2 linked regions of the Mus musculus genome follow. The protein of the gene in region 1 purifies or fractionates together with the protein of each later gene. This does not show direct contact. Links are inferred from orthologs where the notes say so. Each region holds a gene or a part of one and is shown on either strand. Other genes may lie near its edges. The genes, in order: Nfya and Ep300.

Evidence for each region.
Region 2: the proteins of Nfya (region 1) and Ep300 purify together in Homo sapiens (affinity purification with western blotting, with the first as the bait; 3 studies listed by BioGRID). This does not show direct contact. The link is inferred for Mus musculus from reciprocal best matches to the Homo sapiens genes NFYA and EP300.

Annotation. Positions count from the first base shown.
Region 1 is NC_000083.6:48,407,005-48,411,240, reverse strand, and holds the start of Nfya (nuclear transcription factor Y subunit alpha), read left to right. Parts: upstream 1-1,420; 5' UTR 1,421-1,615; intron 1,616-4,236. Other genes in the region: ADP-ribose glycohydrolase OARD1, read right to left, coding at 337-375. UniProt on the Homo sapiens protein: Component of the sequence-specific heterotrimeric transcription factor (NF-Y) which specifically recognizes a 5'-CCAAT-3' box motif found in the promoters of its target genes.
Region 2 is NC_000081.6:81,641,653-81,645,462, reverse strand, and holds part of Ep300 (histone acetyltransferase p300), read right to left. Parts: intron 2,437-3,810; coding exon 2,272-2,436; intron 589-2,271; coding exon 427-588; intron 1-426. UniProt on the Homo sapiens protein: Functions as a histone acetyltransferase and regulates transcription via chromatin remodeling. Acetylates all four core histones in nucleosomes. Histone acetylation gives an epigenetic tag for transcriptional activation.

The sequences.
Region 1 (4,236 bases):
AAAAGGTTAAAAACAGAAAACTATTTCTCCTTTCAGATCTTCAACAGAGCCCCACCCCCACTGCTTCAACCCTGCTTCTCTGACACTCTGAATTAAAGACAACTCTTCCCAACTTAGGAGTTAACCACGATATTTTAAAGTATCTGTAAAAGGAAAGTGATGGATGGTTATTATCTGCCTAGGGTTGTATTAGCCTTTTCTAAGTAAATCAGCTAGAGAGAAACAAACAGGGAGGGGCGAGAATCCAATTATTGGTTTAATTAAAAAGTGTTTATGCTTTTGACCTCAATTATTCTGATTTTCACTTCACCGATAAATTTAATAGCTGTTACGCACTCGACTTCCTTCTGGATCTTCATTAAGGCGGGTGGCCATGCTACTGAGTCGCTATTTCCAGAATTTAAGAGTTCCTTCTGCTAATGAAAAGGAAAAGCAAGTAAAAAAATACCGCTCAGGCAGCCCGAACATAGCGTGTTCAGATCACCCTGACAACCCATTTAGTCTTCCCCACCTCCTTAAGGTATTCTTTCTGGATGTGAGCTCACTCAGCCTCTAAGAGGCAACACAAAACAGCTTTCCAGGAGCCGAAGCAAAGGCGGTCCTAAGACACACCTCCTTACTTCTAGCAGGGAAGGTTTAGGACAGTCCAGAATTTTCCCAGAGAATATAGCTTAGAACGGGAAAGACCTGGCCACAGTTACACTGAGCGGCAGGGTGAGCCGAGAACTGCTTCTCAGGGGAAGATCACCACCAGTCTTGGAGGTACAGGAAGGAAGGTCTGATAAGACTTCCCCGTCTCTCCTCCTACCCTAAGGAGGGCAACCCTGGGATCCCGCAGAAAAGTGGGTACTGGGGGGTCATCCTTCACCTGCAAAGGAATCGGCCGTCAGCAGGCCCTCCTCCAAGCAGGGAAGGGTTCGGGATGAAACCCTCGTAGGTAGGAAAGCAACAGAAGAGTCCCGACACGCAACAAATCCCGCCAAAGCCTTTTGATTGTACGCACACTCAAGATGGCCGCCCCCATCCCTTAACGGGGCGGAAGTGAGCCTCTCTAGCTGGGTAGCGGCGCCCGCTCTCGGTAGTAAGGGCTTCAGAATTTCCGGCGGGAAATTCCGTAGGCTCCCGCTACCGCTCAGGCATGCGTACCGAGATGCCGACCCCGACTGGAGAAGAAGAGCGCTTGCGCATTCGGCCCCAGAGGGTGGGTCCCAGTGGACGCTTAGAAATAGGTGGGCAGGGGGGCGTGTCAGCGCCTGCGTGGTATATAATTCAGGGAGGTGTTTAAGCAGCAGCGTACGGAGCGTGTGAAAGGCGCCTGCGTAGGCCTTTGGCGGGAGGCGGTGTCAAATCCAGGAAGTGGGTGTGGCCTCTGGAACGCCTGCGCGGTGCTCTTCCTAGGGGGCGGGGCCAGGCTGGCCGGGGTTATGGGGCGTGGTCTCGAAGGCGCTTGCGCGAAGGCGGTTGGAGGGAGGCCCGATTCCCCTTTGTTCAGATTCGCCATTTTGCGAGGCAGCGGCAGTGGCGGCGGCAGCGGCGGCTGGAGCCTCTGATTGGGTTTCGGGGTCCGGTACTGGAGCCAATCAGCGCGGGCAGCGAACCGGGGGAGCGAGGCACGGTGAGTATGAGGAGCCAATATCCAGCGGCCCAGAGCCGGCCCCAGCGCCCCGATTGGCGGGTCTCGCTGACCACTCAGGAGAGGCCCAGGCGTCCGTCGAGCCCGGGAGTCGAGCCGAGGCTGCCCGAGCTGGGTAGCCAGTAGCCCCGGCTCGGAGTTGGTGGAGGCCTGCAGGGGCCGTCCAGCGTTGGGACGGCGTCCTGGAGCCAGGCTTTTCGGGATCTGGATCGTCTCCGGGGGCCGGTGGCGGATGCGCCACCGGTCCCCGATCCTCGGTCCCGAGAGGTCAGGTGGCTGACCGCCCAGCCACGGACCGTGGCGGTTTCCCCACGTCGTTCCAGCCTCATCCTACGGCCTGTCCTTGTGTGTCCCCACATTCCGGGCCCCGACGAGGCCCGTGTGTCCTGAGCTCTGCACAGTTGGGGCTACAGATCCGGAGCGAGGCCAGACTGAGACGCGCGGCGCGGCCTCCCAAGACCCACCCCGGGGCCGTTGGCGCGCCTGCCGCGCCCCTCCTCTCGGCCCGCCACCGGGGCTCCCGGGCCGGCGCCGTTACCACCCCTTTCTGGCTCGTCATTTCCTCCCCGCTCAGCCCGCGGTGCCGGCACACCTCCGTGCTGGAGCCCAACCAAGCACTCTTCCTCTTTTTGCTCAGTGTCTCGGTGTTTGAAACGCCGCTGTTGCAGAACTGATAACCCTTGTGCATCCTTAATGATTGGGGGCACACATCTCGCAGTTCCTATTATCCCTGTCTCCTCCCTTGATCTTTTCTCCCTTGGATGCTCTCTGGTTTTGTTTTCCTTTAATCTCTCCACTCAATAGCTCGGCCCACTCGTGTCTCTTTTTTCTAATACACCTTGAAATCCCGCGCGAACGTTTTCTCAACTGATGTTTTAAAACTTACACGTGCTTAGATTTTCTTTCCCCCTTCGGGGGACAGGAAGTCTTCCAAGGACTGCTAGCTATTAGTCTTTGGCGGACGTCACCCAAGTGCTGCAAGCGAGTAGGGCTAGGAGCTATGTCTGCTCGGTGGAGATTGACTGGTGTTAGTGTTTCATAGGGATCTGATCCAGTACCCAGAAGTGCACTTTACATGAGGAAGCCTATTTTCAGCGCCACGCTTTTGATTGGTGATGGAGGGTGATGTCCTCAGAGAGGAAAGACTGAAAAGAGTAACTGGAACAGATAGTGCGGTTGGACGCAGAAAGGCCGGGAGTACTGAGTTTAGGCGGGAAAGTCCAGTTGGTAAAAACCTTTGCAGGTCTTACAAAGGAATTTTTTGAAAACGGTTTTGACTGGAGGTTAAAAGTTAATCTAGAGTGGATTTCTCCCCTAACCTTGGGGGTGAAGGTTGCTGACCTGAGGATTCTACCCCATAGTCTTGTATTTGGACTGGGTGTTCTAACTTTGATTGGTATTTAAAAAAAAAAAATGGATGCATATGTCCACCTCAAAACTGCCAAATGTTTTTGTGGACAAAAGGCAGTTCTCCTCAGTCACTGTGACTCAGACCTGTGGAGCCTCCACTGGTTCCTCTGCATCTGCACTTTAAGAAAAAGTAGTGCAGACTCTCGATTTCTCTAATCTAATCACAGCCCAGGCATCTCCCTTTGTTTGAAATACTTCACCCTATACTACCTTCATCTGGGTGAGATCTCAGACTTAAACCTAACTCACATGACACCCTTTCCCAGTGCTTTCCTTGGTTTGTCCCCAGTGGAAAAGCCTCTGTCCCCCAAACTCCATTTACTGTATTTCCCTTTAGGAGTCTAATACACATTTTTGTTCCTTTTTAGACTTAAAAGCCTCTTTGAAGTTAACTTGTTTTGTTATTTAGTTCATGCTATCTCCTTAGTGGAGACAAGGAGCACACTGGAGCCTTCAAAGGCCCTAGCTGGGTGTGTGTGTGTGATGCCAGGTCAGATGGACTGCGGTGATCAGATGCTTATTGTAGGAGCATTTCTGGGCATTTCAGCTTTTGAAGATTCTAAGTGCTGGCCAGCTACTTCTGTGCCATGTAAATGGGCAGGAAATGCTATGGAAGAGAATGTCTCAGAGGCCAGAATAAACCCATTCTCATTCCTATTCATTCATATTCTCACTTTCAAAAACACATTCACAAGTCTGTAGAAGAGCTAGACAGACTAAATCCAGCTGGCTCAATTCTGTCATAAACTTGGGCACAGAAAGCGTAAGGAAAGGAAGTGTGTCAGGTTGTGTCACAGTTCTGCTGGCTGAGTTGATGGAGGAAGGAGCATATGGCCGCACTGGAGCCAAGAAGTCGGCACCATGGGCAACCTGAGGGTTGTGCTCCAAGCGCCACCACTCCCTTATCAATGCAGAATGGCTGCTGGGTTTGAAGCTGCCTCCAAAGCCCAGTAGGTTTCAATGGCCTAAGAGTGGAGCATTTGTATCAGCAAGATAACTGAGTCAACTCCAAATGTTCCTTACAGCTATTCCAGCCCTCTTGCCCACTTCAGGCTCCATTCTGCATTTAATCTGAGACGATGCAGACTTAGGACATTTAGCCAAGAAGAAAGTTTTATAGGAAAGCGTCTTGGGGCTAGTGGAAGCGGTAAAATACAGAGGTTGTTAATATCTTAAAAAAAAAAACTTTAAAA
Region 2 (3,810 bases), on another chromosome or scaffold:
GCTCTAAGTAACATACAACATTTGAAGAGCAAATCTGAAAAAGCGTTGGAACAGGATATTGATCTCAGAACTAGGAAGACAGAGGCAGGTGGCCCTCTATGAATTCAAGGCCACCCAGGGGGTTACAGAATAAGACCCTGCCTTAAAAACGTCAGAAACCCAAGCAAATTTATCAACAGGACTAGATAAACAATGCTTATCCTTTAAGACACAATGCAACACCATGTAAATTTAGAACAGCCTCAAAGAACATTTTTCATAAGCAAACTCTATATGCATATTCTCTTCATCTCAGTCAACCCTCTTCCAGTCAAATCATTTCTTCCCTCTGAATTTCCAGCAACCTGGAGTTTTCATCATGCCAGTTGGGTGAGCAGCTTAGAACCCCACCTGCCACATCCTTCCACCCTGGTGGCTGCCTCTCACCTCTTTATGCTTTTCCATGGTGGCATACAGTTTCTGAGAAAGGTCATTAGACACATTGGGCATACCAGGCTTCTTCTTATTGCCCCTACTCAGGCTGCTCTTGTTTTTGCTGGTTTTCTTGTTATTCTTCTTCTTAGCATTTTTGCTGTCTCCTTTTGTTACCTGTAGGGCAGCACAGAGGAGAAATGAAAAGGCTAGGTTGTTAGGATTGATCTGGATATGAGGCTGAAGTCTCTCTTTAACTCTTGACCGAGAATTCTTTTTATTATTATTATTTTCTGCAGTTACTCATCACTCACTATTTTCCTTTTAATGTTTCTTTTCTCTCTCTCTCTCTCTCTCTCTCTCTCTCTCTCTCTCTCTCTCTCTCCTTACTTCCTTCCTTCTTTCTTTCTTTAACTTGCAAGCAAATGCTTAACTATTTTTTTTTTGTTTATCTGTGTAGCTTGATGAATGTATGCCATCTGTGTGCAGGTTCTCTCTCTGATAACAAAACTGGAGTTACAGAAAGTTAAGAGATGTTGTTTTGGGTACAGGGAAAAGAACTGAACTGGGTTCCTTTTGAAGAACATCAAGTACTCTGAAGCCTTTCTAAGTTGCCTGCCAACAAAGACCCCAAGCTTCATTATGGAAATGAAAGCTTGTAAACTTGTATTTTTAGAAGAAGTCTCAATTTGCTGGGCACTGGGGACCGATGAATTTAATCCCAGCACTCAAGAAACAGAGGCTGGCAGATCTCTGAGGTAAAGGCCAGCCTGGTCTATAGAGTGAGTCCCAGGAAAGCCACGGCTACACAGGGAAACGGTCTTTAGAAAACAAAACAAAAAACAAGAAGAAAAAACAGAAAAGCCCCAGTGTGCAGAAGCCATTGACTAAAGAGGTCAGATACAGACAAGACTGAAGAATGAGTGGCACCATGGCCGGTGACCAAGGAAAGGAAGAGGGAAACCAGCAAGCTACCAAACACTCTCACCTATTCAGTCATGAAGTTACCCAAAGGATAAATCTGGTAAATAAGGGGTGGGGTGGAGTGGGGGAGGGGAGGGAGAGGGAGAAACACAGAGAACTTGAGATTACGGATGGGCACTGCCATGCTTGCCTTAAAAGGTCCTGGAGCCAAACTTAGTCATCTAGGGCCCTTGTATTTGTGCATACCATGGCACACACCTGTAGAGGCCAAAGGACAACTTATGGGAGGCTGATTCTCTGCTTCAACCATGTGGGTTTAGGGAATGAATTCTGGGTTTGGTGGCCAAGTGCTCCAGCCTTTTTTTTCCCCTTCTTTTTGGACAAGGTTTCACTATATAGAAGTCTGGCATTGGAACTCAATGTGTATCTGCCTACTTCTGCCTCCTGAGTGCTGAAATAAAAAGGTGTGTGTCACTCCTTCTAACCTGCCCCCGTTTTATTAAGCTGAAATCCAGAGAACAGTCAAGATGTGTCTGGTCAGTAACTGACCAGGATACTATGAAGGAGACAAGTTAACTCTGTTCCAGGCTTTTGTCTGCCTGTGATGCTCAGCACTTCTGGGAAAATAAACTAGAGAGCATATGCCTGTAGTAGCTATAATTTGGCCTATTAGATGTATTTTTCTGTACAGTTTTCCAGGAACTTATATTGCTCAATATCCAGGATACTACTTAGAAATACAGAGCCTCTTCGTTCTAAGATAGTTTGGCTGCTATAAAGCCAAGGTTGGCCTTGAAGTCTGGGACCCTTAGTGCTGAAATGAAGCCCATTACACTTAGCAGAATTTAAATTTTACACCAAATTGAGAGTGTAAACTCCTTTCTGTATTGTCAGTGAGGTGTCAAGGTAGACACTGCAGACACAGAAAGCCCTTACATCAGTACTCTCGTTGCTGGTGTTCTCTTCCCGTTTCCTCTCTTCCTCTTCCTGTTCAAGCTCCTTGATGCTTTCTTCTAGAACATTGGGCCAGAAATCACCTTCAAAGTAGGGTAGTTCCTTTGCACTTGTTAATCGATCTTCAGTAGCTTGTTTTAAAATATCCTGTAAAAAAATTCCCATGATTAGAATTTTTTTTTTATTTATAAAGGTTTATTTATGTCTGTAAGTACTCTGTAGCTGTCTTCAGAAACCAGAAGAAGGTATCAGGATCCTCCCATTACAGATGGTTGTGAGCCACCGTTTGTTTGCTGGGAATTGAACTCAGGACCTCGGAAGAGCAGTCAGTGCTCTTAACCACTGAGCCATCTCTCCAGCCCCTGATTAGGAATTTCTATGCTTTCTTTTTAAAATATCTATCTATCTATCTATCTATCTATCTATCTATCTATCTATCTATCTATCTATCTGTTTTTTGTTTGTTTTTTTTTCGAGACAGGGTTTCTCTGTGTAGTCCTGGCTATCCTGGAACTTACTCTGTAGACCAGGCTGGCCTCGAACTCAGAAATCTGCCTGCCTCTGCCTCCCAAGTGCTGGGATTAAAGGCGTGTGCCACCATGCCCAGCTCTATTTATTTTTTGAGACAGGGTTTCTCTATATTGCCCTGGCTTTCCTGGAACTCTATAGACCAGGCTGGCCTCAAACTCAGAGAGATCTGCCTGTCCTTCCTGAGTGCTGGGACTGAAGGCGGGCACATGTACCACAACCACCTGGTTGGCTCTGTTTTTAAAAAGCTTTCATTGTATGACAAACATGAAAATGTTCTCTAGGGCACAGGCCAGATTTAGTCACAATACTCATTTATAACAATGTATTTCCTTCTTTCTTTTAGAGAGGGTATCACTATCTATCTACCCTTGGTTCACTATGTACAGAGCTCACTATGTAAAGCAGGCTGGCTGGTCTCCTTAGAACTCAAGAGATCTATCTACTCCAGTCTCCTGAATTCTGAACCATACCCAGTTCTTTCTTTTTTGAGACAAAGTGTCCCTTAGCCCAGGATGGCCTGCAACTCCCTATATAAACAAGTCTGGCCTCAAACTCAGAGATCTACCTGCCTTTGTCTATCCACTTAGAGTAAAGACATGTACCACCATCTTACTTATGACAGATTTAATTATTAAAAATTAGATTTATTTTATATGTATACATGTTTGACTGCATGCACATGTGTGCTCACAGAGGCCCCTGGAATTAAGAGTCAAGGATGGATGTGAGTAACCATCTGGGTGCTGGGAATCAAATCTGAGTCCAAGTGCTCTAAATTACTGATCCATTTCTCCAGACCCCCATGACACTTTTGAACTTTGAATTATCCTGCCTCAGTTTCCAAATTGAGATTATAGGCAAGCACTACTTTGCTCATATGTAAATCACCTAACACCCAGCCTTTCTAAATTTGAAAATTTATGTATTAAAATTAAACTTTAATAAACTAAAATTATAACAGTTACACGTTATAAGACTGAACAAAGCCGG